7 linked regions of the Daphnia pulex genome follow. Each later gene encodes a partner of the first gene's protein in a complex. Links are inferred from orthologs where the notes say so. Each region holds a gene or a part of one and is shown in the gene's direction. Other genes may lie near its edges. The genes, in order: mediator of RNA polymerase II transcription subunit 4-like, mediator of RNA polymerase II transcription subunit 31-A-like, mediator of RNA polymerase II transcription subunit 21-like, mediator of RNA polymerase II transcription subunit 19-like, cyclin-C-like, mediator of RNA polymerase II transcription subunit 20-like and mediator of RNA polymerase II transcription subunit 24-like.

The links.
Region 2: the proteins of mediator of RNA polymerase II transcription subunit 4-like (region 1) and mediator of RNA polymerase II transcription subunit 31-A-like are in contact, whole or in part, in a cryo-EM structure (PDB 8TRH), measured with the Homo sapiens proteins. The link is inferred for Daphnia pulex from reciprocal best matches to the Homo sapiens genes MED4 and MED31. Residues at the interface, in NP_054885.1 of Homo sapiens: Glu147, Tyr151, Arg154, Ile155, Asn159, Ala160, Val161, Cys162, Ala163, Pro164, Trp167, Arg173, Arg174, Pro175, Tyr176, Pro177, Met182, Leu186; in NP_057144.1 of Homo sapiens: Gln19, Glu23, Gln26, Cys27, Ala29, Asn30, Pro31, Ala64, Lys65, Tyr66, Leu67, Lys68, Tyr69, Pro70, Gln71, Asp98, Ile102, Trp105, Gln106, Tyr108, Ser109.
Region 3: mediator of RNA polymerase II transcription subunit 4-like (region 1) and mediator of RNA polymerase II transcription subunit 21-like share a complex: the UniProt entries of both Homo sapiens proteins name them as parts of the mediator complex. The link is inferred for Daphnia pulex from reciprocal best matches to the Homo sapiens genes MED4 and MED21.
Region 4: mediator of RNA polymerase II transcription subunit 4-like (region 1) and mediator of RNA polymerase II transcription subunit 19-like share a complex: the UniProt entries of both Homo sapiens proteins name them as parts of the mediator complex. The link is inferred for Daphnia pulex from reciprocal best matches to the Homo sapiens genes MED4 and MED19.
Region 5: mediator of RNA polymerase II transcription subunit 4-like (region 1) and cyclin-C-like share a complex: the UniProt entries of both Homo sapiens proteins name them as parts of the mediator complex. The link is inferred for Daphnia pulex from reciprocal best matches to the Homo sapiens genes MED4 and CCNC.
Region 6: mediator of RNA polymerase II transcription subunit 4-like (region 1) and mediator of RNA polymerase II transcription subunit 20-like share a complex: the UniProt entries of both Homo sapiens proteins name them as parts of the mediator complex. The link is inferred for Daphnia pulex from reciprocal best matches to the Homo sapiens genes MED4 and MED20.
Region 7: mediator of RNA polymerase II transcription subunit 4-like (region 1) and mediator of RNA polymerase II transcription subunit 24-like share a complex: the UniProt entries of both Homo sapiens proteins name them as parts of the mediator complex. The link is inferred for Daphnia pulex from reciprocal best matches to the Homo sapiens genes MED4 and MED24.

The regions. Positions count from the first base shown.
Region 1 is NC_060026.1:12,376,208-12,380,301, reverse strand, and holds mediator of RNA polymerase II transcription subunit 4-like, read left to right. Parts: upstream 1-1,596; 5' UTR 1,597-1,720; coding exon 1,721-1,788; intron 1,789-2,081; coding exon 2,082-2,196; intron 2,197-2,252; coding exon 2,253-2,372; intron 2,373-2,431; coding exon 2,432-2,603; intron 2,604-2,664; coding exon 2,665-2,966; 3' UTR 2,967-3,112; downstream 3,113-4,094. Other genes in the region: transcription initiation factor TFIID subunit 13-like, read right to left, coding at 1-164, 319-414; beta carbonic anhydrase 1-like, read right to left, coding at 3,313-3,436, 3,498-3,583, 3,642-3,881, 3,946-4,085. UniProt on the Homo sapiens protein: Component of the Mediator complex, a coactivator involved in the regulated transcription of nearly all RNA polymerase II-dependent genes.
Region 2 is NC_060024.1:13,245,095-13,248,282, reverse strand, and holds mediator of RNA polymerase II transcription subunit 31-A-like, read left to right. Parts: upstream 1-1,723; 5' UTR 1,724-1,864; coding exon 1,865-1,877; intron 1,878-1,955; coding exon 1,956-2,036; intron 2,037-2,093; coding exon 2,094-2,190; intron 2,191-2,249; coding exon 2,250-2,460; 3' UTR 2,461-2,548; downstream 2,549-3,188. Other genes in the region: 2-oxo-4-hydroxy-4-carboxy-5-ureidoimidazoline decarboxylase-like, read right to left, coding at 2,693-2,888, 2,961-3,114. UniProt on the Homo sapiens protein: Component of the Mediator complex, a coactivator involved in the regulated transcription of nearly all RNA polymerase II-dependent genes.
Region 3 is NC_060027.1:1,945,762-1,948,914, reverse strand, and holds mediator of RNA polymerase II transcription subunit 21-like, read left to right. Parts: upstream 1-1,538; 5' UTR 1,539-1,631; coding exon 1,632-1,673; intron 1,674-1,749; coding exon 1,750-1,962; intron 1,963-2,039; coding exon 2,040-2,201; 3' UTR 2,202-2,278; downstream 2,279-3,153. Other genes in the region: nudix hydrolase 8-like, read left to right, coding at 229-397, 466-557, 621-831, 888-1,114, 1,183-1,362. UniProt on the Homo sapiens protein: Component of the Mediator complex, a coactivator involved in the regulated transcription of nearly all RNA polymerase II-dependent genes.
Region 4 is NC_060023.1:10,279,872-10,283,638, forward strand, and holds mediator of RNA polymerase II transcription subunit 19-like, read left to right. Parts: upstream 1-1,767; 5' UTR 1,768-1,984; coding exon 1,985-2,189; intron 2,190-2,230; coding exon 2,231-2,502; intron 2,503-2,567; coding exon 2,568-2,912; 3' UTR 2,913-2,995; downstream 2,996-3,767. Other genes in the region: GTP:AMP phosphotransferase AK3, mitochondrial-like, read left to right, coding at 1-65, 140-173; required for excision 1-B domain-containing protein-like, read right to left, coding at 438-614, 676-874, 941-1,026; MAP kinase-activating death domain protein-like, read right to left, coding at 3,378-3,464. UniProt on the Homo sapiens protein: Component of the Mediator complex, a coactivator involved in the regulated transcription of nearly all RNA polymerase II-dependent genes.
Region 5 is NC_060017.1:5,572,121-5,576,143, reverse strand, and holds cyclin-C-like, read left to right. Parts: upstream 1-1,519; 5' UTR 1,520-1,647; coding exon 1,648-1,679; intron 1,680-1,737; coding exon 1,738-1,844; intron 1,845-1,912; coding exon 1,913-2,119; intron 2,120-2,179; coding exon 2,180-2,303; intron 2,304-2,372; coding exon 2,373-2,497; intron 2,498-2,571; coding exon 2,572-2,770; intron 2,771-2,874; coding exon 2,875-2,947; 3' UTR 2,948-3,041; downstream 3,042-4,023. Other genes in the region: adenosine receptor A2b-like, read left to right, coding at 316-648; folate receptor alpha-like, read right to left, coding at 3,063-3,254, 3,311-3,526, 3,818-4,006. UniProt on the Homo sapiens protein: Component of the Mediator complex, a coactivator involved in regulated gene transcription of nearly all RNA polymerase II-dependent genes.
Region 6 is NC_060026.1:11,659,459-11,663,970, reverse strand, and holds the end of mediator of RNA polymerase II transcription subunit 20-like, read left to right. Parts: intron 1-1,706; coding exon 1,707-1,972; intron 1,973-3,090; coding exon 3,091-3,201; intron 3,202-3,418; coding exon 3,419-3,511; 3' UTR 3,512-3,516; downstream 3,517-4,512. UniProt on the Homo sapiens protein: Component of the Mediator complex, a coactivator involved in the regulated transcription of nearly all RNA polymerase II-dependent genes.
Region 7 is NC_060019.1:9,366,456-9,371,270, reverse strand, and holds the start of mediator of RNA polymerase II transcription subunit 24-like, read left to right. Parts: upstream 1-1,796; 5' UTR 1,797-1,988; coding exon 1,989-2,084; intron 2,085-2,157; coding exon 2,158-2,283; intron 2,284-2,367; coding exon 2,368-2,469; intron 2,470-2,527; coding exon 2,528-2,889; intron 2,890-2,945; coding exon 2,946-3,274; intron 3,275-3,332; coding exon 3,333-3,661; intron 3,662-3,718; coding exon 3,719-3,955; intron 3,956-4,023; coding exon 4,024-4,190; intron 4,191-4,247; coding exon 4,248-4,425; intron 4,426-4,494; coding exon 4,495-4,592; intron 4,593-4,659; coding exon 4,660-4,815. UniProt on the Homo sapiens protein: Component of the Mediator complex, a coactivator involved in the regulated transcription of nearly all RNA polymerase II-dependent genes.

The DNA.
Region 1 (4,094 bases):
GTGATGTATTCAATAACAAGGTCTTCCAGCAGATCAACACTTTCTGTATAGGGATTTTGATCATCACCAAATCCAAACATCATGCAACGAAGTTCCTTGCTGAAGAGGCGCTTTCTGCCTGATGAAGTGGATCCATAATGCAAATCAGGTTCATCATCATCAAACTAGAAATTGAAACATTTAGAAATTAAATGAACAGTAAAGCATTAAAACAAATTTAAATACAAAAATTTCCACCAGCAATATGTTATATGTACCAGCAAAACTTTCAGCTGGAAATTACTTAAGATTTAATGTAACTTAAAAGAAGAAAATTACCTGATCATAGTTTTCATCTGGATTTTCTCTTTCTTTGCTGTCTCTTTCTTTCTGTGGGGACGAAGTCAATGAAGTATTCACCGAGGGAGAAGACATTTTGAAATTTGATTACTAAACGAGTAAATGTTAGTGGGTTGGAGAATTTTCGAGCAATAAACGTCAACAAATCAACCACTGCAGAAGACACTAGGTAGGTTAGTAACGAAAACGGTTGCCAGATGGCTGTAAAAGCACTCTTGTACGTACTAAAATCTGCTTTCTTGTAAAAAAAATACATTGCGCGGCGCCTGATTACGCATTCAACATTGAAAAATGTTTATTGGTTACAAAAAGCCAGAGTTATAGCTCTGCAAAAAGCGTCAAAGCAAAAATTTCCTCGATTTAAATTAGTGTCGTCCATTTTCATTCAGTTTGAAATCTCCAACGTAACTCGGCTTTTCTACGCCGTTAGCGTACATGGCAACATCATACTTGATTCGATATGGTTTATTGGAACCTTGATTGTAAAATAAGGAAACAGTGATACGAGCTTCTACTTGTTTTCCGGGGTAAAATTTTTCAGAATCCTCAATCATCTTGCGGACTTCAAATTCGAAAGATTTGTAGGCACTGTTGTTGAAATTTTTGTGCATGGGGACGAGATTATTTACGTCCGATCCCGATCCTCCAAGCATTTTGGCAATGATATGCCCGGCATGATAGTCTCCTTCTATACCTAGTTGTTTTTTCTGCTCATTGTTTATGGACACTGTACTTCCATTTCCAAAATTTTCCGACCGAACAACCGCATAAACTTTGCGATACTCGTTCTTCTTCTCCAACCTTAACTTTGACAGACTTGTCATTCGACATTCTTGTAGACAGGAACTGAACCAAGAATCTGTAACACAAAATGTGTTTTAAAGTCCTCATAACTGGAGATTCTAAAGTCGAATTGCTGGACTATATACTCACCCAAGCAAACAAATGAATGTCTTTTCACTCTTTCCGGAGTTTGTTTTTGAGAAATTGCTCGGAAAACTTTGGGCGGGTCAGACGATCAAGAGCGGAACAGCGGATTCCTGCTGTCTGTTTATGTTTACGAAATTCGATTCATAAATCGTCGCCAGTGTTGCATTATTATACACTTCAAACATATCTCATTACTATTATATTTTTTAGTTTCTTTTAACGAAATCACGTTGTAGAGCGGTGATTCGACTCCGAATGAATCCATAAATAAAGGATAAGGAAATTTAAAAAAATACGTGGTCAGGTTAAATCTAGATATGGCAACCTCACTTCTCTAGTTGTTGTTGCAGCCGTAGCCGAGCCGCATTCAAGAAAAACTAATTTTGATTGGAAAGTTTCACTTACCTGTTTTTATAACTATTTCTATAAAAAGGAATAAAAATAACTAGACATGACTTCTCAAAAAAGTACCAGAGAAGTATTGCTTACTTGCATCGACGATATCGAAATCATCGCAAAGTAAGTTTTTCTTGATTTGGCTGCCTTTGTTCGTCGACTATTTTGATCACGTAGTGCAATTGTTCTTCCTTCAAAATTTTTTTAATGAAAGTTAAAGCCTCAGATCTATCTATTGTTCATTAGCATGATATATTTATTTATCTTATTAGGTAATCATACCATTGTTTACCTGAAATTCAGAACACTTTGTCACACTCGTTTGTATCATACACTGTTTTGAATTTGATTATTGAATTTTAATCTTCCAAAATATAATTGTCACTGTACTAAACTTAATCTTTTTAATTTATTAGGGAACTTTTGGACAACTTAATAGCCCAGAAGCAGCAGAAACCTATGAGTACTGAACACTCTCAACTTGTTGAATTGGTTCTTCAAAAAGACACTGATCTTAAGGCAACACTTAAGGTAAAATTATTTGTTTTTCATAATTTTTTTCAATGCTAATTCTTTCTTTTATTAAGTTGGCTGAAGAACAAGGTGTATTACAACAAAAAGTAGTTGCCTTAGAGACAGAAGTTGAAAGGCATGATGTTGAGATTCGAAATCTTCAAAAGCAGCTTAAGGAGGCAGAGCAGCTATTAGTAAGCTATTTTTAATTATTTTGTTGGTTTTAGTATTTCATAAACTTACTCTTTTTCAGGCTACTGCAATCTTTCAAGCTAAGCAAAAGTTGCAATCAATCACACGGGCGAATAACAGACCTGTAAATTCCGAAGAGTTGATAAAATTTGCTCACAGAATATCGGCTTCCAACGCTGTTTGTGCTCCTTTGAATTGGCAGCAAGGAGATTTACGCAGACCATATCCCACGGGTAGAAATTTTTTTTTAAATTGCTGTCCAGTAGTTTCATGTTGTTTTGTGGTGGTTTTCAGATATTGAAATGCGGCTAGGATTTTTGGGCCGTCTTGGTGAAATGAATGTCAATGGACACATGAGTTTTCCAGAACTTTTGCATCGTCCTAATCATTCTTTGCAGCAGGGGTCTTCAGTTCCGAATTCTCAAGCAGGCACTTATAGTTGGTTATCTCAAAATGACCTGCAAATGCCCTGTTTGTCAGTTTCACACTTGGGTGTGAGTGGTGGAATGGATCACAAAAATCCCAAGAAAGAGAATGAAGATGTCGACGTTATGTCTACGGACTCGAGTAGCAGTTCATCTTCCGATTCTCAGTAAACACGTGAGCTAACAATTTACACTCTGTATCCTGCGCGATTGCTTAATATTGTTGGTAACCATCCTGTATACTATTCTACTTTCGCATTTCTTTTTGAAAACCTTCCTCATTCAAAGGTTCGTAAAATAGATAAATATTTGTGCAATTCCTTTTTCGAATTGTTCAAATTCTTTTCCATTATAAAGTTATGCAACAATTTATTTTATAGTTAACTTCTCACTATTTACAAAATAGCTTTAGAATCGAACTCCCCATATAAATTCAGGAGATGTGCGTCATCTCTATAAAAATACCTAGATTTCCATATATTCTTCAGCATAATAACCCGAGGCACGTCGGTTAAGGTCACACAAAGTATTCGCGTATTTCATCGAGCAAATAATCGGATGTCTCTTCGCTTATCTCCACAAACCGTTTTTGCTTGCGGCTAAAGACGTAGATGTCTCCGGTATAGATGTCGAACCATAACCTAGTATCATAAATTTCAACATTAAACACTTACGAGTAAACGTTTGATACATGATACATACGCGTGAAGGTGTACTCGCCCCGAATTTATGGCACTTTGAATGAAGCTATAACTGGCAATATGCTGTAGTTGTTGCAATGTGTTGAGCTGAAAAAAGATAACCCAATTAGATTTGTAGACATTACATAACTTGGCATAATTCTACCTGTGAGAGCTTATCTGTTAGACTAAATTTATTGTCAGGGTCTATGTAGGCAACAAATTGTCTGAATGGTCCCTCCATTGGGAAAGTCAAGGGCTGTTGGAAACCATGCACTTCTAACCTCTCAAATTTAGTTAGAGAAATACTACCATGGCGATGAAGCCAAGCTTTAAGTGGAGATCTCTCGAGAGTTCTCATGTTGGTTTCAATTCCTTTTTTAAAACTATACAATAGGTTCATAGCCTGAAACAAAAGTTGTGTGTCATTATGTTTATGTTATCATTTAACAAGTTTATGGTTGACTGACCTTGCAATCTGAGTGTCCACAAACAACCATGTGCTTCACATTATTTACAATGCACCCCAGCTCCAGGGCTGCTGGTTCAGTGGTAGCTGAATCAATTCCATACAGCTTCGAGTGAGGAACCAGATTACCAGCATTTCTAACTTATATTT
Region 2 (3,188 bases), on another chromosome or scaffold:
GTTGTATGCTATGCGCTTTGCTGTTTTGTAAATAACGCGATCAGATAAATATTAATGTCTAGTCTCAGTTCATTTGAAGCAAAAGGTTCAGGAGAAAGATGATGATTCGTCTACTAGACTAGTTAAAAAATACGATGTACCCCAGCAGTGGGCTGCATATGATTGCCATTTTCGTTGACGCGTCGACAAGTTGTTTGACGTTAATATTTTGCGTTAATAAGATTTCGCGTCGCCCTTTTGTTTTGTTTATTACATTGTTTAATTTTTTGTTTCCCCCCCCCCTCTCTGCGTCGACTGCTATATACTCGGCGACGTGACGCAAATGGAATCGGGGGCTTGCTGTAATTGCCTTCAACGGCAGGTTAACATCACAACAGTTGCCGAAAGTATAGAGACGAGGCGGAGTCAGTTTTTGGGCATTGTCCGTCGCACGTGCCACCGCCCACCGGTTCGTCTACCTAGTGGCAAAAGCGTTATTAATATGGCGGGGAAATGTAATGAGAATCTTTTCCACGAAAATTTGAAACTCCTCAGGTAAAAAAAAAAAAGGCTGATATGGGTCAGGCAATAAGCGGCAGGTGATTGATAAAAGCCCACACTGCCTCAGCAACAGCTGGATCATTTTTGTCATGTCACGCCACCTGTTGCTACCTACGCTCTACTGAATTCTGTGCTATCAATGATGGAATATTACTCCATCATTTATCCCGGACCGACGGCAGAAATCCGCGTTGAATCTATTTGTTACTCCAATCACGTCACTTTGCTGATTGAACTTATAATCATAGAAGAGTGGAATTTCAAGCACGATTATTAGATAATACCAGGGAATTAAGATTGATACGTTCATCCTCTTGATTGTCGCATGGTCTACCGGAAAACTCGGGGCCGTAGGTGAGAACCAACCATTATACATCCGCCGAGTGCGCAGGAGGATGGCTACGTAGTATAGACCTACCACATGTACAATACGTGAATATGCACTCAGACATGATACACCGCCCTCACGGCCGCGTGCATTATCCGGATGTCACGTATACACGGAGTAGATATGACACTTTAAGATGATATTTCTGACCTATACATGGTAGAATGCTATCGCCCCCGCACCGGATATCCGATCAAAAGTGGCGAAAATAAGAACAAAAGTCAAAGAAAAATTTCAACAGATTTCGTTTGGGTTGAATATTTTTGATTAGCCTACTTTCAAATATTTCCGTTCTGGAAAAGGACGATAAAATAGTAACGGAGGCGTAGAATGTCGCATATGTGAAACAACTGGAAATCACACGGTAATATATTCCATCTTTTTATTTTTCCGTTCGCCTTTCCTGCTGAATTCATAATTTTTCTGATTTGACTTTTTTATTTTGGTATTTTTGTTTTTCAACTCCATATTCCATCTAAATTCTTCTATTGATCTTACCTCCTACAGGAAAATAAAATAACTCACGGTGCAAACTGAAGTTAGTATAGTCTAGCCGTCTAGCCTATCAGCTGCGGCTTCATGGTTTATTAGGGTCCTACGGCGCAGCGCAACCGCAAAATGTTATCCAAATTCGGAAATCAAACTGTGTGATAAGGCCACCACACACATTAATAAATTGTGGGCATGAAATTTGAAATCGTTTTAATTTTTTTTTTATTTTGTAAAAATTTTTTTAAGTTAATTCAATTTTTAATATTTTCTCGATTTCTTTCTAGATGGCATCAATTGATCAAGCAGACGACAAATTGCAAAAGTTGACGCTTTCCAATTTCCATTTCAAGTTGTTGTCTGACGTTTCCATTCTGTCCGGTTGCCTCGTTTCTAGATTTCCAAAACTGTTGAAGCAAACTACGTTATTTCGTTGTTTGCTTCGCAATGAGCACCAGAGGTAAATATATCGTGAAGTGTAGTCGTTTTCAATACAGATTCTCATTGCTATGTTATTATTCCTTTTTCCGATGGGTAGAAACTGATGAACAACAAAGGATTCGATTTCAGGTGGAACTAGAATTTGTGCAATGTTTCGCAAATCCAAATTATCTGCACTGTAAGTATTTGGTCTATTTTTAAAATCAACACTTTCATTATGCCTTGTTTACACTAGTCCTTGCTCAACGTGGCTATTTTAAGGATCCGGCGTTTGTCAACTACATCAAGTATTTACAGTATTGGAAGGAGCCTGCTTATGCAAAATATTTGAAGTACACCAATTCACTTGCAATTTACCCTAACTAGAAATTACAATTTCATTATTTTCCAGGTACCCAATGTGTTTGCATTTCCTAGACTTGCTTCAATATGAGCATTTCAGAAAGGAGGTTGTGAATGGCCAGTGTGCTCGCTTCATTGATGATCAACAAATCCTTCACTGGCAACATTACACTAGAAAGAGGGTTCGTCTTCTTCAAAGTCAAGCTGAGAAGCACATGATGACTGTTCAGAATGAGCCAACACCCCAGAAAAGTGTTTGATTCATGATAATTATTGTTTAAGGAACTTTTTAAACTTCTCTTATATTGGGCAAGTATATGCAAGACAATATAGACAAATTTTTGTAAATTGCTGTATTTTGTGTTGAGTTTTTGCAAACTACCAGACAAAATGTTAACAACACATATGTTTTGGAAGACTTGTTTTGAGTGAGAATGTTTAGAATGGAATAGCTGCTGTTGACCTCAACTGATGGGAGCGAGTGGAAAATCTCTACATATTACGAGATTTGTCATCAGTTACTATACTCAACAACCTCAAAAGGCAGATTTTCTTCACTTCTTCAATCCCAATGTTTAGTTCTTCAGCAGCTGAGTGTTCCAATCTCTCAACTATTCCTTTCAAGATTGCTTCCTTCTTGTTCTGCCTGGCACAGATAACAAAAGGAAATCCAAACTTTTCTCTGTATCTATTAAAATAATAGCCCAAAAGACACAGCTCATTAGTTACTATATAGTTATAGAACAGTAATTTGTCATACTTGATGTTGGTCTCTCCTAGCAGTTGTTTTTCACCAGGTGTCATTGTGTCTAAACCAGCAGCTTTCTGTTCAGCAGTACTCTCCTGTGTTAGGCTGCCAAGTTCAGCTAGCCTGCCAGCCAAATCAGGGTGAAGTCTTAGCACCCCCTCTTTACCTATCAAATGAGAAAACAAATGTTCAATTGATTGGCTATAAATAAGCATTCAAGCAGCCTGTAACTAAATAGTT
Region 3 (3,153 bases), on another chromosome or scaffold:
TTATTTATCATTTATTGTTGGAAAAGACAGGCAGAGATTTACAATAGAAGCCGGAAAAGAGAGGGAAAATGTGTGGCAACTCGGATTCACGGGACATAAAAGTGCAGACGATGTCAACATAAATATTATACGATGTCGTTGGACGATATCTCCTGCCTCTAGAATAAAAAGGACTCTGTGTATAGATGAAGAGATAGGCCGTGATGACATATTTATTGAACGGGTGTTATGAATGCTACTGCTGCTCGTCATTTATTGAGCAGCGCTCTGGCCAAGACGAAATCAATTGTTGTTAAAATGTCGACATTCCAAGGTGCCAAGGATCTTTTCGGCGGAATCATTGTGCGCTCGAGCGAAGAGCCACAAGAAAGGAACCGAATGGAGCAGCTTCTTAAAGGTGCAAATTTATTTTTATATATTAACACATCATTTGTTTTATGTAATAGTTGTTTTGTTTGTTTTTAGAATCTCTGCAAGTCTGGTCCACCACTGGAGTTCGTGGAGTCTGGTTTGAAGTGGAACCAACCTGTGCTGAATGGATTCCAGTACTAATTCAGGTAGTCAAAGAAGAATTATTGCTAGTCAAAACTGCACGAGCATTACCTTATTCATTTTCTTAGAATGGCTTTTCTTTCCATCACGCAAACCCAGAGTTGAGTGTGTTGCTCAAATGGTTGCCTTCTGACGAACCTTGTCAAGTGCCTAGTTATGCACACACAATGGTAGGCGCTGGAGCCATGGTTGTCAATGATAAGAATGAGATTCTTGTGGTTCAGGAAAGGTATTACAAAAGACCACACTGGAAACTCCCTGGTGGTTATGTAGATCCAGGTATGTATATTTAGACATCATTAACATTCAATCATTACCAATTATTAAATTTACAGGGGAAAGTATTGCTACTGCTGTCAAGAGGGAGGTGTTTGAGGAGACTGGTATTAAGACAGAGTTCGTTTCACTCGTTGCCGTGCGGCATTTGCAATCAAGAGAGAAGAATCCCAGTGCAAGGTTCGGCTGTTCAGACATTTATTTCGTGACTTATCTCAGACCTGTTGAAGGTAGCACAGAAATCAAAATGTGTCCTCGTGAGCTCAGCGACGCTTGTTGGATGCCGGTTAGTTTTCTAAATGTCAACATTTTCAATTATTCCTAGTCTGTGTAATTGAATTTTAAATATTTTAGCTGAAAGAATATGCGACTCATCCGCTTGCCTTCGAAGTTGGGAAAATCTTTGCTACACAGTTAATGGCGATTGCCGATGGCGATAATCCCGCAATCAACTGCCTGGAATCTATCCATCAATTGACTAATAGCAATAGCCAAATTTACTTAGTTGAAGGAAAACAAAATTTTAAACTGTAATGTGTTCAGGATCACGTTCTAGTATTTTGTTTTAGTGCCTGTTACGGGAATCAGATAACGCATTATATTTAGCTTGAATTGTTGTTTTAACAAATTATATATGCAGATCGGTAAATTACTGCCCAGTTCCTGTAATCATCAGAATGTAGAATTAATTTCACAATACAGGTTGTGAATGTTTAAATTTGGCATTGAAGTTATCAGATTCATCGCTAGGTGGCGTAATAGCCGGCACATCTGCTTTTCTCATCTCTGCATTTCCATCAACAATGGCTGATCGTTTGACACAACTCCAAGACGCTATAAATGCGGTATTTATAACTGATTGCATTGACGAAATTGCCAAGTGTATCGTCTCAAATTCGTGGTTTAATTCTCTGTTTCTAGCAAGCTGATAATTTCTGCAATGCCATCGGTATTTTGCAACAAACCGCCCCACCGGCTACATTCCCAGGTTTCGATCGAGCAGGCAATCGAACACCTCAACAACAACAAGAAGATCACGCTTCTCTTTTTGCCACATTGATTGCCCGCTGCGCCAAAGATATTGACGTCCTAATCGATTCACTACCCAGTGAAGATTCTACCTCCGAACTGCAGGTATAAACTTGGTTCTATTAGTATTCTGTCGGTGCAATGTTCTACGAAGTTGACTAAAATTAATTCAATCGCTGCAGATTGCAAGTCTCAGAAGGCTGGAGAATGAAAATGAAAGTGCCGCTGCACGATTGAGGGAGGTTGTCAGCGAAGGAGAGCTGATGCTCGAGAAAATTCAGAATGCACTTCACGACATTGCACAGACCCAACTGGCCATGCAGAGCACAGGTCCAAATTCCTAAATCCAACCATTATTTGCTCTAGTTCCCTATTTTTGATATTTAAAAGAAGAAAATGAAACAAACAATTTGCTCTGCAAGAATTTCGTTTCATTTCTGGTTTCCGCCACAACATCAATTTTAAATCTGTTCTTTTCAAAATCATATTGAGTGAACATTCTTGTCACACACAGGTGAGGCAAGTCATTTCAGGAAGGAAGGAAGATGGGGTGACAGATTGTAAAAGAAACTGTTTGAAAAGGATTCCAACCTTTTATATATCCACTTCTTTTTTTGTCTTCCTTTAGAAAACCCAAAATGGAAAGAAGGGGGGAGAGAAGTTGCTGTTCACTCGTAAGAAGAGAAAGAACACGCGGTCCGTTTGTTTAGGAATGGCGTGCAACAAAAAAAAAGAGGAGGGGGGAGCGGGAGGAGGAGAAAAAAAAAACGATAGAATGTTGTTTAGCTTTTTATTTTTTAAAAAAGAAGAAGTAGAAAAAATTCTCCCGTGTGTATAAATATAGTGCTGCCATCTTCTCCGACCCCTTTCGGCGATCTCCGGTCGTTCGGTAAGAAGGGGGAAAAATAAAGGGGGTTGGAAGTGGGTGGCGTTCAGTCTCCCCACTTCCTTTTTTTTTCTCTCTCCCTCCCCAACCCTTTTTTGATGCAACAACAGTGTCTGCGTTCAGCGATTATGTCTTTGGAGAAGATTACGTTTGGCAGAATTTCAGGTGAGTTTGAACAATTTGTTTTCTTATTTCACGAATTTTCCAGGGTAAATTTTGATGTTGCTCAGGATAAATATGAGATAACTGGGGAATATATAGAGTCTTATTAGTTCTATAGAAGAAGCGCCGCATACCGCTTCGGGGCAGCAACTGTGTGTGTGTGTATATCCCCCCCTTCTTCTTCTTTTTTAAATGTTTTTCTTTAAAGAAAACAAAAAATACTAAAAGGGAGGAGGAAGATGAAGAAA
Region 4 (3,767 bases), on another chromosome or scaffold:
GGTCATGGTATCTTAAAGTTATTTAAGGGGAGATTTACAAATGAAATTTGGCCTAAAGTGCATGGGTATGTCTTATAGGCTTAGAAATATTTTTACATTGTTAAAGAATACTGTTTAAAAGATGTCTTTTGTATTGCAGATTTCTGTCAGAAAGCATTCCTAAATCTAATTGAATGCTGCATGCTGCCTTATGATCTTCCTGCATTACTTGGTGATACTCATCAGAAGAATATGTGGAATGAGGTTTAGAGAACTTTGCATTTTAACATTCCTCTTATTAGTTTTGAAACTTAACTTGCCAAGAATTTAAATATGTTAAATAGAAAACTAAGAATGCAACATTTAGTTAGAAGCATTATGATGCTGTATTTCTTTAGATTGTCAACAGGTTAATGCAAATATGGGAAGAGAATAATCTTCAGTGATGAAAATAAAAATTACATCAGATCAGCCAATTGGTAACAAACAGCTTCCATGTTTTGATTGATCTTGTCTTGAACCACAGCCAATTCTTTCTTCAAGTGATGCACTTCACGCATGAGAATGTCATTTTCAGCATCCTCAATATGTTGCATGTCTTGCAACTCTTGTTTAGCCAATTGCAATCGAGCCATCTAAACAGAAAATCAACAAGTTTAATAAATCTTTAAATCTTAATCTTTAATAATTTTTTACCAGTTCCAGCTGCCTTTTCTCATAATCCTGCACTTTGATAACATGCAATGTCAGTTCAGGCTGCATGTTTCTCAATTGGCACTCAATTTTAATTATTTCTTCTGAGATTCGCTTAAAGTCTTGAGTTATGTCTTGAACAAGTGTACGAAACTGGATAAAGTCATAATTTGGTCCAGTGCTCAGATAAATCTTATGCCCTCTGGAAAGAAACAATACATGCAAAAATTACCTCATGTGAAATTTTTTAAATAACATTGTAACTCACTCATGAAAAATCTTGTAGGTGTGGACCCTTTCCTCTTGCAATTGCTGGAATTTCCTCAAAAGGCCATAAGCTGTGACTCCATCCATGTTGAGAATTATAATTTTACTAACGTGTAACGAACAAAACGGAATGAACGATCTAGGTAAAGAAAAGATACGAATTGTATTGTATATTTAAAAGGAAATAAGCCTAGGTTATACAAATAATTACCTTTGGAGAAACAGAGTTCTTATTATCACGGTTGCGAAGGTAGGTTTTCTATCCTCGTAACATCACGACTTGTGGTTCCAGAATAAAGAGGACGACTATATTTTAAGGGTGACGACCCGGTCCTTTCATCAACGCCCCTAGGGTCAATTCTGAGACAGACAAAAAAAGGGCTGGGTTACTGGGTTGGAAAAGCTGAGTCTGGCCTTTAAAAAACCCTCTACAATACACTAGGGAGTATGAGATAAGGATTTTTTAAAAAACAGCCTCTGCCTTCAGCCAGTTTTCTGACTTTTCTTGAGACTATTGAAGGACGCCGAACTCGAATTCGAAAGTTGAATTCGACCTCTGGCTAGATAGATATTTTTTGATAACATGAATAATAAAATATACATCAACAGTTTGATACTATTACCAGACGGAAATTGAAAAAAATTGTGATTAAACTCACCATTAAATCACACGAGGCGGACACAAAACTATCTACCCTAGCAACTGCCACTGAGTCTAAACCTCGTGTGACTTTTTGACTTTTGAAAGCGTGCTCTCGCCAACTTGGCCAATTCAAGTCCTCGGGCAAAAATATTTGCATAGAGGAGCATCTAGTTATATCTTTTGGGTACAGGTGGCGCTGGTGTTTCGTTATGCTTTTTCGCTGCTGTGTTTACTCTGTCAATTGTCATTTTTGGCATCCAACATTTGCCTGAATAATTTATTAATATCTATAATTACTACGATATATCGGATTCGACCAAGGTCAGTCTAGTCGGATACGGAGATTTTACAAGCGATGACCTCATACTAACGAGTAAAAAGGGTAAAAGTTTTTGACAAAAAATGTCGGAATCATTCACCATCCAAGTGGCCGATTCTCTTCGGAGATTTGAGCCGAATTCTCCAAGATCTTCTCCAAGAGGAAATCGAAGCCCAGTTGTTCCCAGGCAACAAGATTCCACTGGAACACTGAAAACCACCATATCACTTGGAAAGACCCCAACAATTGTTCATACCGGACCATTTTATCTTCACAAGGAACTGCCAGGTATACATATTTTACGTGACTGTATCATTCTTTCACTCAAGGTAAATCTATCGCAGGAGATACTGACCTAACCGGAGCAACAAATTTAATGGCTCACTACAATTTGGAACATTCATACAACAAATTCAGTGGCAAAAAGTTCAAAGATTCGCTATCTTCATTCTTACCTGGATTACCCGGCATGATTGATACTCCTGGTAACACAGACAATTCATCCTTAAGATCCATCATTGAAAAACCTCCAATCGGTGGCAAGGAGTTGGTATTCTTGAATTCCTCTCAACTTGCAGGATTCCGTCTTCATCCAGGACCAGTAAGAGACTTTTAGACAGCAAATCACATAATTGTTATTTTAATTTTCACATCTTTATTTCATAGTTGCCTGAGCAGTATCAAACCTCTTCCCTGGCCCCACTGAAGAAAAAACAGAAACACAAGAAACACAAAAAGAGTAGCGAGATCTCAATTCAAGAAACTGGAGCTGGAATCGCTGGACCGGGCATTGGAGTAGTAGGAGAGGGAGGAGCCGGTTCGGGCGGTGAATCCTACGAAAAAAAGCATAAGAAACAAAAGCGACACGAAGATGAGAAAGATCGCAAGAAGAAGAAGAAGGAGAAGAAGAAAAAGAAACAGAAGCACAGTCCAGAACACCCAGGAGCATCAGCCTCAATCGGTACTACAAATTCAAACAGTAACCCACCTGGAATGATGCCCTTACTTTGAGAAACCTTCTTGTCACGTCGATTTATTTCGAATTTTTTCTGCTTCTTTCGAGAGTATAAATAAAATTCCATTCAATGAGTGAATTTTGGTTTATTATTATTCATTCTTTCAAATATTTTCTTCTAAATCGGAGTTTGAAAGCTATAGCGTTGGCTTGCCCGAAAACAATGATAAGCACGTCACGATAGCTACACGCAAGTCACAATCGCTCAAATGATATGATCAATAGGGTAAAACAACTTTATATTCATTAATTACAAATACTAACAGTGAATGTTCGAACGCAAATTTGTCAACTGCTGTTGGTTCAAATTTCTTGATGAACCGTACCATGACTAGATAATTATTATTGCGACGACTCGTACGACAAAACGAACGAGTAATCATTTAAGTACAACAACTAAAAGTAACAAGCGAATCAAGTGATGTCCGGTGTGTGTTGCTTGGTCGATTGATGATGAGCTTTCAAGTCGGCTCAACCTTTTTACGCTGTTCGCTTCCGGCGGCCACGTAAGAAAACACGCAGAGAACAGCGTAACAAATCTGATCCGCCTGTTTTGTTTAAAAGAACAAAAAAAGGTTGATTAATATAATAACAAATGATTCAACAGAAGACACAGCAAAAGAAAAATAAATAAATAAAAAGCAGGTCAAATAGCAAAACGAAACTTGCCTTTGACCGGATCACAACAAAGAAACAGAATAAGTGGATTGCAGACCGTCTTTATCAAACTGAAAGTTTAATCCACTCAACAAGACTGTTGAATGGCCATAGACACGCGGACAGAAAAGACACGATGGATTGCTAATGCTATCTCGTTGGCCTAAACGGTAGCGTGCAGGTATAAAGGTTAA
Region 5 (4,023 bases), on another chromosome or scaffold:
TAAATTTTAATAGCAGTCAAGGAATTTAAAAAATATATTTTTTATTTGATTTGTTTTGGGGTTTTTTCTCAAATTACGACATTTCGTTCAAATTCGCTCTCAGTTTTGAATTTGTTACGTTTAGATGGGTGCGTGGCAAAATTTAAAATCCCCTGTAAACAACATGTATAACAATAGGGAAAAAACCGTGATAATTTTACAACCGGCTCAACCCGGATCTAAACATGCTAAACAGTTTAATTTTCTTTATCCGAGCTGTTGTTGTGTAACCGACACGCAACTCTTTTCCTCAATGTTGCCGTTTGTTTTCGGCAGGTTGTCATGATTTTGTATTTCGGGAAATCAGCCCTGAATCCATTTATTTACGGATGGAAGAACCGCGATTTCCGACTGGCTTTCGCCCGTTTGCTCCGCTACGTCCCCTGCTCCAAGTGGGCGATGGAGCGCTCGCTCAGCTCGGTGGAAATGGCCACCGGAATCGGATCGAGAGCTGGATCCATCCAGCCGCACGATCGACAGCGACTCAGTAAAATCTATCAGCTGGAGCTGCCACCTATCGAGTGGCAAATCAACTCCACCGACCTCTCCAACGACGACTACCTACAACGAACGATCCCGCCGGATCAGCAACAAGTCACGGACTTGTAAAAATTCACGACGGCACGTTTTGAAATAGTTTTTGTTTTTTCACGTTACGCCGGACGCATGCCAAGAATCGTTCAAGTCAATTCTCACGGGGGCTACACTCTTTATTCATGCAGGATGCCTCTGCTTCTTGGCCTGTCCATCGTTGCTGTTGACTGATGCGGGAGATATGTCACATGATTTTTTCCCCCCATCGGTTGTGTTGATGATATTAAAATATTTTCATGTCTTGTGTATAGGCTCCATTGAATGTTGATTGTATTTTTCGTTCGTGCCGATGCCACGGGATTCAAACTCTCTCTGACTGTCCATATCGTCATATAGCCCACACATATTTTGTATCATCTCTGTTTTCTTACTCAATGGTCCATTCCGCATTTTGTATTTTCTTATTTTTTTGCAACGCATTTCTTTTCGGCCTGATGTACTCATGATTCTCGTTGTTGTAAAACGGACAAGTGGTCAAATTCCTTCGTGTTTAGTAGCCAAATTTACATACTCAATTATTCATGGATCGTTTGTAACTTTGTAAAATGTAACAAACATTGTGTTATGAACGTTTCGTTAGGCGACAATAATATGTAAACAAATACGCTGTGTAATGAGTCTCAAAAATATTAAATCATGTTTATTTACGTCGAACCAAAGTAACTCATTGCGTCATCATCCTAATCACTCAAAAACAGTCATACAGTAAGTCATAAGTTTACAATTAATTAATTAAAACCAAATGGAATGCAATGTTTTGTTTTGTTGAACGCTAATAAAACTTTAAAAAAAACAGAACAAAATCACGAATACGATCGTTCACAAATCACTAAATCAGTAAATCACGATGTTTTCTTTTCTTTCGTTTATTGGCGTGCTCGGGTGCGAAAAGGCTTCCATGTTAGAAAATCCGGGCACGGCGACATTTTAATAAGCGCCGCCTTACGTCGTCTAACCTAACAGTGTCGAGCATCGTTTACACACAGTAAACAAGTTAAACCTCGGCCGCAGAGTATGGCTGGGAATTTCTGGCAAAGCTCGCATTGGTTAGTTTTTATTTGTCTAACGTTTTGATTCACATTTAATTACTCACTTTATTATTAGTCAGCAGTGGCTACTAGACCCTTCTGATTTGGTTCGAGAACGCCAAGGGGATTTCGCCATCGTCACGGAGGAAGACTATCAAAAACTCTTCATCTTCTTTAGTAACTGTAAGTTTATATTAACTATGGAATCATCTCCTAAATGTTGAATAATAAAAGTGTCTTTCTCATGTTAGTCATCCAGGTTCTTGGTGAGCATTTGAAACTCAAACAACAAGTCATAGCGACTGCCACAGTTTACTTCAAGCGGTTTTATGCCAGGAATTCCTTGAAATGCATTGATCCACTGCTACTTGCCCCCACATGCATTCTGTTGGCTTCAAAAGTCGAAGAGTTTGGTGTAATTTCGAACAACAGATTAATCACAACATGTCAATCAGTTGGTATGTGATCTTTTCATAAGACAAAATTTGTTATTGTGATTCAATCAACTTCTTAAACAGTCAAGTCAAAGTTCAACTATGCCTATCCTCAAGAGTTTCCCTACAGAGCACAACACATCCTTGAGTGTGAATTTTATTTATTGGAAAACATGGATTGCTGTCTAGTTGTTTACCAACCTTACAGGTGATCAACTGTTTCTGAGAAAATTTAAAGCATAATGTAATAATGTTTTCATTTGAAATTTCCACACAGACCACTTGTCCAATTTGTTCAAGACATTGGGCAAGAAGATCTTCTTGGATTGTCATGGAAAATAGTCAATGATAGCCTAAGAACTGATATATCTCTTCTGTACCCCCCTTACCAAATTGCATTGGGTTAGCTTGAATTATTTTTGTCTTTTATCATGTGAACTCTACTTCATTTATTTCTTTCTTTTCTTCTGTATTAGCTGCCATGCAAATGGCTTGTGTTGTGCTTCAGAAAGACGGGAAAAATTGGTTTGCGGAAATTGCCGTCGATACGGATAAAATTCAAGAAATAACGCGTCAAATTCTGGCTCTGTACGATCTCTACAAGACCTACGACGAGAAAAAAGAAATTCAGGGTTTGTTGGCCAAAATGCCTAAACCCAAAACGCAGCCAAGTCGGTAGGATATTCAATTTCCTATTTAGATCCCAATTCTTTCTTATTTGATCACATTGCAAAGAATAAAATTTTAAAATTGTTTAATACACTGTGATAACTATGTAGGCCTCCCTCGTCAGCACAATCACAGGATGGAATACAGGGCACAAATGACCAGTCCATGGGTGTGACAAATTGATTATCATTATCATTCTCATTTTATAAACTGAAAAACACAAAAAAAACTGTGTTATGATCAACTATTTAATACATGCTTTCTTTTACAATGAAAATGAGAACGCAATTTCTCTATTCTAGTAGTTTAGAAACAACATCAAGGCGGGGAGTACGTATGTAAGCGGCTTCGTTGAAAACGTTTCCGCGCTGTTACTTTGTTGGATTTTCCATCGTGCAATATTTTCGTTAGGATTGCCTTGATCACCGTCAAACCAAATACGCATGCAGGGCTCTGAATTATTGGTATACTTCCATGAATGATCCCAAACCTTTTAGAAAATAAAAATGTAATCAAAATTCTAGGGAGAATGTTAATACTGTTTACCCTTTCACAAAAATTAGATGAGTTTTGAAAGATATCGGAAAAGGTGCGACATTCGGATTCAGGTCGGCAGTGATTGGTCCCATTAATCCATTTGAAGTTTAATGTCCAATTGTCTGTACATGTGTAATCATCCTTGCAAGCATTGAACCAATCATCACAATCAGTGGCGCAAAGAGGCACGTCCAAGAATCTTTCTCTGCGCATTTTCATGTTTACCTAGATAAAAAAGAAAATATACAATTATTTTCTACAAGTTTAAAACATTCAAAACAAATGCTGCTGGTTATATAAAACTAGCATCTAGGCCTCTAGGTGGATCTGTGTTTCTAAAATTACAAAGCTTACAGACAACAATGTCTTATTTATTATGTAACAGCTGAGAAAATTAATTCTGCCTATTGTTTTCAGAGTGAATCTTTAGGAAAAATGAACTGACTATATTCCTATAGCTTGCATAAGCATGTTAAAGAGAGAACACATTTTTTCCATGAGTTTCATGGAACCCACCGTTTGCATCCATGGTCCAACATTAGGTGAGCATTCATAAAAGCATAAATCCTGAACAAAATGTTCTAGACATTTGCTCGACATTTTTCTGTTGGGACAGTGGTTGTAGTTGAAGCCATACATTTTCCCTCCATGAGCATGAACTGTCGTGTTTCCTGTGCAACAAGAATTGTTTTTCCATGGTAGGCACTGAAAAGAACCGAAAA
Region 6 (4,512 bases), about 720 kb from region 1:
CGAGCTGGATTGATTTGGTTTAACACAGAAAAGGGCAGCAGCAGCAGCCACCACACCAGGAAATAAAAGAAGATGTATCCTATTACCGGGGGGGATGATGTGAGCCTGATGGAATATCACCAAGTTCCTTGTAAAAGAAGAAGAAGAAGAAGAAGTGAGCGAGAAAGCACATTGGGTTGGTTGCCCTTTTGTCGGGTGTTTGGGATCTCTACTCGATTGAGATTGGTCAGGGCCTCTCTCTTGATCTAACTCTGCGACGTGGTGTGGGAATCGTTCGTGAGAGATATCGCGTGTCACGAACCGATTGGGCCTAAAGAAGAAGAAGAAGTTTTTCTCCAGCCTCATCTCGTGTGAGAGACAGACGCAGACTTTGCAGCCGGGGTCCAACAACAACAACAACATCCCCCATCCCAAAAAACAGCAGCAGCTCCGGTCGGAGTAAGAAGAAAATCTCGCACACACAGTGATTTCCTCCTCCCCGCAGAGTTCCTTCTCTTCCACGTTTGAAATTCCCTCCTCTTTCCCCCCCCCCCCCAAAAAAAAAGACATTTGAATTACACTGAAAATTTAAGTTTCCCGCGTCATGAGAGAGCGTATTGGAATAGAATTGATTTTTTATTTCCAACCAAAGAAAAAAAAGCAGAGGGAGGCTGGAAAGAATCCCAGAAGAAGTAGAAGCCACTTGATGTCTTATCTCGAAGCAGTATTTTTTCAAATGGCTCTTTTTTCTTTCTCTTCTTTCTTAGCTTCCAATTTTTTAAAAAACATTTTATTTTGATTTTCTATTTTGAAAATAACCAACGCAGTTAATGGGTAGAATGTGGGCAGGAAAATCTGAAGAGGAATCCTTGTTCTTATATTCTTCTTCTGGCTATATGTATATCCACATGCACGAATATATAGAGAGATATACCTGCTTCACGTCTAGATATCAAGTGGACGGGCGCTACCGATCCGCCCAGCTGCTATACACAACACAACAACACACATGACTGCCTACCGACTCCGTGCTTTTGTGGTTTCCTTGTTTTGTTTGATTTTTTCTTTCTTTTCTTTCTTTCTCCCTCCGTCGGGGGTGGAAATAGAGGAGGAAAGAGAAAGAAGAAGAAGAGATAAGTTGATGGTGAGGTTTGACGTCACACTCGTTGAAGATTGAGAACAACTGGCGCGCATAGTTATTGTTTTCTTCTTTCTCTTTCTCCCTAATGCCCAAGGTTTCCTCCCGACACTTGGCGTGCGCTTTAGTTCTTTTTTTCGTGGGGGTTGTTGTTGTTGTTGTTGTCGTCGGTAGCGGAGGAGGAAGAGGAGGAATAGAGAGACGGGGGCGACGGAAGGCTGCGGCTGTTTGTGGTTTATCTGACATGTTGGAGAGTTGCCCGCAAGCTTTTTCGAGTTGCCATTTGCGAGCATTTCCAACCAAATCCTCCGACGAGATGGAAAAAAATCCGAAAAAAAAGGAGAAAGAGACAGACGGGGGGCTAGGCGCCATCATCATTATCCGGCGGGACTTGACTGATGACGCCATCAACTTGTCTATCGCCCTTGTTTTTGCAAACTGCCAATCTGGCTCAATTTCTTTTTTTCGTAGGAAATTTGATTTCTCTCATGTCTTGTGATGTGGGAGGGTTAAACGCCAATGTGTTTTTATCATTCATTTTCTTTTTATTATTTAAAATCATTAAACTTTTGGTTTCTTCATTTGGCAGGAGCGCCGAGATCGGTGCATTTGCTGCACAATTCCGAGACGCCGGCCTCCGTGTTCGCTCTGCTGGAGGCGGCCAGCGGCAACAAGACGGTGGCCCTGGTGGCCGACAACTTGTTCGACCTGCTCATGCTCAAGCTCTCCAATTTCTACACGGCCAAGAAGCAGACCAAGATCGAATCGAGAGGGCCGCGCTTCGAAGCCGGAGACTTCCTCGTCAAGCTCGGCTCCGTCACCATGGGACCGGCCTTCAAGGGCATCCTAGTCGAGGTATACATTAAACAGCAACCCAACCAACCAACCAATATCCCACGTTAGTGCATAGACAATAACGACATCAAAAACTTCCATCTCTATCTCGACTTGACGCTGTCGATTGTCTCCCTTTTTCTTTCCCTACAAGGTAATAATGATGAGAGGCTTTTTTCTGGCCTCTTGAAAAACAAGAAAACCCTTTGACAACATCCGTTTTCTCTGTGTGTGGAGGGAGAGCTAGAGCTAGAGCTTTTCCAGCTTCTTCTTCTTCTGTGTTTACAATCTCCGCGTGATGGTTCTTTTTTTCCGTTTTCGGTCATCCAGCACTAAATATGCAAGCGCCTCTTTTTCTTTTCATTTCACTCGGGAAGGTTTCAGACAGTTAATGAGCTTGTCAATATTGAATTAAAAGTGGGGTTGGGTGGGAGAAATTTAATTATTTGAAATGATCAAATCACTACGAGTCTACGAGCTGGCTCTGACGGGTTTGGGCTAATATTTGTGATGATGGACGCTTGAATAGAGCCACAGAGAGAGAAGGGCTGAGTCAATGTTGATGTGAAAAACGGGAGAAAGAAAAGAGACTCTGTCTCGTTTTCTTGGTTTTCTTGGTTCTTTGATTATTCGTGACTCGAGAGAGTTCCTCGCTCTTTTGGGTGCCTCTTATTATCGTACACGAGCCGAGTGTGTTGGCGCTGGGGCGGGCTGATGTTGTGAACAAAACAATTGATCATCCATCCAACCATCGGGGCCTTTTTATTTCTCTTTTTCCATTGAAGAAGAAGAAGAGAAGAAAAGAGAAGAAAAACGCGGCACAACTGGAAGGCGCGTGATATTCTCCGTCTGTGTTGTTACGTCATGGGCTCTTCTCATCTTCTCCTTGTTTCGTTTTATTTTATTTTTTGGTTTTGTTGTTGAGATGTCATGGAATTTCAAATGAGTTTTTGGGGGCGAACATTTTCTGACTCGGCTGAATATTGATTTCATATACTCCCGCTGACACTCGCAACAACAATAATAACAACAGCCAGCCAGCGACGTCTGCAGGGTCTGTTTATATGGATGAGAAACAATTTTTTTGTTTTCCCGATCGATTCTATCGGAGAGATAACTTTTGCCATCCGTTTTGACAGGTGGAATATCAAGCGTGCAGTCTGCCGGCCGCCTGTTGGGATCTGATCCGCGAGTTCATGCAGGGCTTCTTGGGCGGTTGCGTCCCATCTACTCCGCCTCCGTACATCCAGGTCTGCTCCTTCTTCCTGCTGCCCGTCTATAGGCTCAAAACAATTTTATTTTATTTTTTTCTTCTTCATCCCCATCAATATCAAATAAGAATTTACGATGTTTGCCTTTCGTCATGTTGTTATTATTCCAATTCGTCTAACAAAATTTTTTTTATTTTTTTCTCTATTTTTTTCCTGGATGCATAAATCTTTTTTCTGTTCCGTGACGGACCATCAGAGCCGATTCGGCGACATGCTGGGCACTATCGACGGCATCAATCAGTACCTGGAGCAGTTCAACGCTTTCCGCAAAACCACCGGCATCCGATAGATCGACAAACACAACAAACAACAACTCTATTTGCCCTTACACAACAACAACAAAAACGCGCCATTGCTACAACAAAATAAAAAAGGAAAAATACAAATAAAGAAAATAAAAAGAACTCCGCCGCTCCGGTGTTTTTCTATGTTACTTGGGTACAACTCTATTATCCATCCTTTTGGAAAAAGAAAAAAAAACTAAATGTTTTTTATTTTATTTTCTCTTTAACCGTGTTGATTCAAAAACCGCCGTCGCCCACCTTTGCACACACACTCGACCCTTCTTGTATTTTTTGGACTTTTTTTTCAAAGTTTCCCGCTTTTCTTCCGGGCGCTTTTTTTAAAAAACTTTAAGTCAACAAGAAAAATCAAGAGGACAACTTTCTCTCTTCTTCTTCTTTTATTGTGTTGATTTTGTGGGCTTCCCGTTTCTAAACAAACACATCATCACCTCAATGGATGGCCATTAGGGGTTCTCTGTTGTGTGTGTGTGTGTGTACCAAGTGCCATTTGCTATCCTCATTTTTTCCCGGAATTTTTTGAACATTATTTAAAAAATGGCGCGGTTTTTTCCCCCCATTTCAAAAATTCAAATTGCTGACTAGACACAAAGGAGATTTCCACGGTGTATGCCGTCGTGTTCCATCTGCTTTGATATCGTTCTCGGTTTGAATGAAACAAGAGACTCCGACGACGTCGTGCCACTTGATTGCGGGGGGGTCACAGAGGAGTCGACAGTTTCTGATGTAATAAGAGAAGTAAAAGAGCGACGGTGGATGCTATTTCCAGCAGGGCTGTATACATATATATATAGTCTAACAGCAGTTTATACGGCGTACGAAATCACTCTCTTGAAGTGTGTTGTTTATGTGTACACTCTCTCTCTCTTGCCGGCGTCTGTTTTTGATCTGTTTACATGTTTGGAATAGCAGCGCAAGACGTTCGCCGGCTTATACCTGATACCACACAACTTTTTCCATCTATCTATCCTGACCTTTTGGCTTCTTT
Region 7 (4,815 bases), on another chromosome or scaffold:
CAAGTTGGGTTCATGCTGAGAGAGGATTAGATTACAGCTTCACGGGCGCCGATATAGTCCAGCGTAGTATCTGCATGCGCATTTGATTTGTTTACTTTCCTTGAATTATAAGGTCTGTCACGTCTCAAAAGTCTTGACAAGATTATGAAGAATCAAGTAGCTAAGCTAGGTAACTTAACTTTTAAAAACACGCACGTAAACTACAAGTGCTCTACACAGAAATGAGATTGGTTTTAACTGTTTCGGTGTGTCAAATCGCCTACACAACGAATCATCTGCTTCAAAGCGGTTCCATGTTAACAAGTCGCAATTACTGACCTCTCTTCAGTCCCTCTCAACTCCTGTCAACAAGACTCTTTCAAGCGTTAAAAAAATAAAAAAAAATAAACCTTTCAAGTTTTAGCACGCGCTAAGTTCTTCATCGGCTCTCCAACTTTCTCTGCGTGTATGCAAAACAAAAAATATTTCACTTTTCAGAACGCTGCAACATTTCCCGAATTCATAATCAAACTAAAACACAAAAAATAGTACCGTAATAATGACGCACAATTCAAAATAAAAGTGTCGATTGATTCATGTCATTTTCCAACGCAGTTGAGCACGACATCTCACGCCATTTTTTTTTTTTTTGTTAATTATAGTCCACGAGAACCAGCCTACCTTAAATAGTAACTCAACACCAACCAGGATGTTCTTGAGAAGAAGAATCGTATTGCTGACACTGGCCCTTATTTTAGCTATTGTTATCATCACCGTGACCATTGTCGGGCTTCTCATCTCATCATATAATGACCGGTACATGCACAGTATAAATATCCAACAAGAGGAGAAATCGGAGATTGTTCTACTTTCTCAATTTCTTCAGTCTTTACATTCTTATTTATTTTTAAATAAAATTTAAAAAATCTATTTTTGCAGTCAACAGGCAGAAGCGGAAGCTAGAAAAGACCATGGTACTCACATGGAGATAGAAAAATATGAGGATATGGAAAAGAAAATGAGTTCTATCGCTTCTGATTTACCCGAGAGTGATGATACGGAAATCGATGAACGTGACTTTTTACCAGTACCACCAGGTGTAGTCGTAATATTTTGATCATCGCATACACGGACGGTCATGGCTGAAATTATTTTGATTAAACATGAATAGCTACAACAAATACGGACAGCAGCGGCAGCGGATTTGAGCCTTCAAGTACGGAAAAGACTTCGTTGAACGTGAATTCTGTTCCTCTAACAGACGAATATGAATCATCTCAAGAAGTTGGAAGTGGAGATTCGTTAGATCATCATCAAGCCGGTAGTGGAGATAATTCCGAAGATCGACACTTTGGCATGGGAAGTGGGGATTTTTCTGGAGACCGACGAGACGTCGGCAACGGGTTTGATCAACCCGTTTAATTCGTCACAACTAACAAGCAATCTCATTCCGACCTTCCTCTTGCAACTATATAGTACTTTATATAATAAATACAATTTATCCCTGTCACTGCAAATTCTATTGGTAAATTTCTTGTGCACATGTTATGAAAGCTATCCGTAAATACATACAAAATTCGTGTACCATTTAACCGCGACCAAATTCTTTCTGTTACGTAAACCGATGTTAAAACTAAAAGTTTTAACATAGATTTATTTTGTTTTATACTAAAATTGTCAAATTGATTTGGTTCTGAAAACACCGAACACGGATTGGCCTTCAAGTGGGGGATCGTTTGTTAAGCACGTAAAACACTAATTGGTCGATTCGTTGCTGCTGGTAGTTTGAATTCCACGCGAAAATGTCAAAATGATTTGTAGTTCCACTTTTCACCGCTGGGGTGTTTATGGTATACCGTGTCGTCTGCTTTGAACGCTCCTCTACAAACCACAAACTCAAAAATTTCACCTCACCTTCAGAATTTAACGAATAATTGTGGCGTACTTCAACATATGTTTGTTAAATTGTGTTTTAGGTTATTAAGCTTGAAATTTCTATAATCGAGAGGATGACTGAAAGTGTAGAGCAAAAGCTCAAGCACTTGATGAGGAAGGCTTGGAGGGAACGTTGGACAGATCTCATGTGGGGGATATATGTCAAAGAGGTACTTTAACTGTAATTTCGTAACAAAAAAAAATATCTTTACCAGTTTTAAATTAAACTTTCTTTACATAAAGGTAATACCAGCAGGATCAACTGGAGATACATATAATCTAGCAGAAAGCATTTTACAGCAGGCTTTGATCGGACCATCTCCAAATTCAAAGTTGTTGTCATATCTACAGCATTCATTACATGTTCAAGTAAAACCACAACTTTAATTCAATTACTAAACACATTTTGTTTTGCTTGTTAATATTTAATTGCATACCATTTGTGTGTTTTAGATTGTTTCCTACAGTGCTGTTTTCGAAAATATCTGCCTTCAAGGTAGTATCCAGAAAACCAGATGCCTTTTGGAGTTACTACTTTTGGTGGAGCAATCAATAGTAACTTTTCCCATTCAGTCTTAAATTGAGATATGGTTTTAACAATATTATTTATTAGAAACATATTTCATGTACTGGATCTGGCGATGGGCCTGCTGCTTTAGCTGCTTCTCTATTGTCTTTGGAAACTTGGCTTTGGAGTCTTACGTCTGATGGACTAAAAAAACTATTTGATAATAATAGTGCAACCAATGACTATTCAGTCATTTGCCATTATACTACAGGATTACTGGGGACTTTGTATGAAGAGAACTATTTAATATCTCTTCTATACATTGCACGTTGCTGCACTAATGATCAGTTTTCAGCAACTCATCTTACATCGCTTGTAAACCAAACTGAGTCCAACCTGAAAAATTTAACTACTAATGGGAATCCGTCATCAGAAAAACTTGTGGAATCTGTCGAAAAAGTCATGAGGTACTTCATTTGATGTTCTTCGTCAATGAGTGGTCATTAAAACAAATTCTCCACAGGCAATGCCGATCATTTGAAAATGATCTATTCAAAGAAAATGGTCCCGAAAAGCCCTTTTACGAGAACTCATTGTGCACAGACGTACATACATTAATATCTTGGGAGGCGTTGCTTCGCCCCACGTCAGATGGCCTTGAGTTGACTCGACAGTTGGAAGTTCTACAGAAACTAAGAGGCTATTCACCCACCCAGCTCTATTGCGAAATCCTCAGAGCGTGTTGCCTAGGACTAGCCGAAACTGCTGATTCTCCTGGAGAGCTACGTTGGGCTGTATTCACTTTCCTCAAGGCACCGTCATTACTACTCCGACTTCATCGATCAATTTTTGGTACGATTAGCAATATTTTAAAATTTCAAACTGTTCTATTAAATTCTCGTTTATCCAGGATTGGATCCAAATTCGCCTATTGGAGAACCAAGTCCGGAAGTCGCGGGTGCGTTTGAGCGCCTTCTTTGCTATCCTGGACTTTTAGAAACAACCGATGCCAAATGCCATTGCAATGTCGTCGAAGGTTTATTAAATGAAGTGAAAATACGGACATCTCTTTTATCTGAATGGCATGTTACAAGCATCCTCAGCAAAAGAGAAAGTCTATCCCGCGGAGGTCTGAAGTTAGAGACCACTAACACACAAATAGCTACTTTGGTTCTTCGTGCTGAGCCAACGGTGGCCAGTATTCTGAAAACGTTGGATACTGATTACGCTAAAAATCAGGTAATCAAGGAAAATGTAGAGAATTACGTAGAGCAAGTAATAACATCTTCATTTTAGGACACGCTGTTGAAAGTTTTATCTCATTTGCTTTCGGGGCAAAGCTTCGAACTCATACTGAACGCTGCAACTGGGACTGGTAAACTCCGAGCTTTTGCCACAAAACTCGTGCGATTTAACGAAGCGAATCGCCAACCTGCTGGTTCCGATCCAAGTAAAACTGCAAATGCAAGGGCTCTACTCTTTGACATCTCATTTCTAATGCTCTGCCGTATTACGCAAATGTACGGCATTGAGGTAATGAAAATCATCTAATAATTCACACCTGAATGCCTTCTGATGTTACTTGTTCTAATGATCGATAGGTGATACTGAGTGGTGAACTAGGAGGGGAGACTTTCTTTGAGCAGTGGGCTTCAGAATGGCTGAAACCTAATCAGGCGCCTGATTTGTCATTAAGTCGCTGCGATCCCATGTTGACTGATCAGTTATTGAAAGCCTTGACATCTGGAGAGAGTGACCTTAGATCAGGGTAAAATAATCTCGCCATTTTTTTCTTGAAAAATAATAAGCCCATTTCTATTCATAGGAGCGTTCGATGGCACGAAGCTTGTTTCCACGTCCCTGCTGTAATACGGGAAATTTTGGGGGCTTACGAATCACAATTAGTTTCTGATGAAGAAGTTGAAAGGATTCTCGATACTTTACGGACTCAAATGTGCTGTCTGTCTGTTTGTGCTGCCGCTTGGCTTCGATTTTACATCCAAGTAAGAAAAGATCCAATTAAAAAAAAATCAAAAAGATTCGAATTAAAATACGGTGGACATCTCCTTTAGGTACAACCAGCAAATCTGAAAAGTAAGCCCACGAGCATGCTCGATCATTTGATGACTTCCCTGAATCTTGATGACTCTAAAGAGCATTATAGGGAAAGGTAAATTACGATAATGCCCTAACAAATGATTTTTCGCGTTCACTATAAAATTCTTTTTTCCATTAAGGTCAGTATTGATGCTGCAAATCATTCGGCGTCTGGCACAAGACGACAATCCCCTACAAAGCGTCTCAGAGAATCAAGATCAAAGTTTGGATCATCAGTTAACCAAATTATGGAATAAGATTTTAAATCATGGTTGGTCAGACCATAGCACAACAGT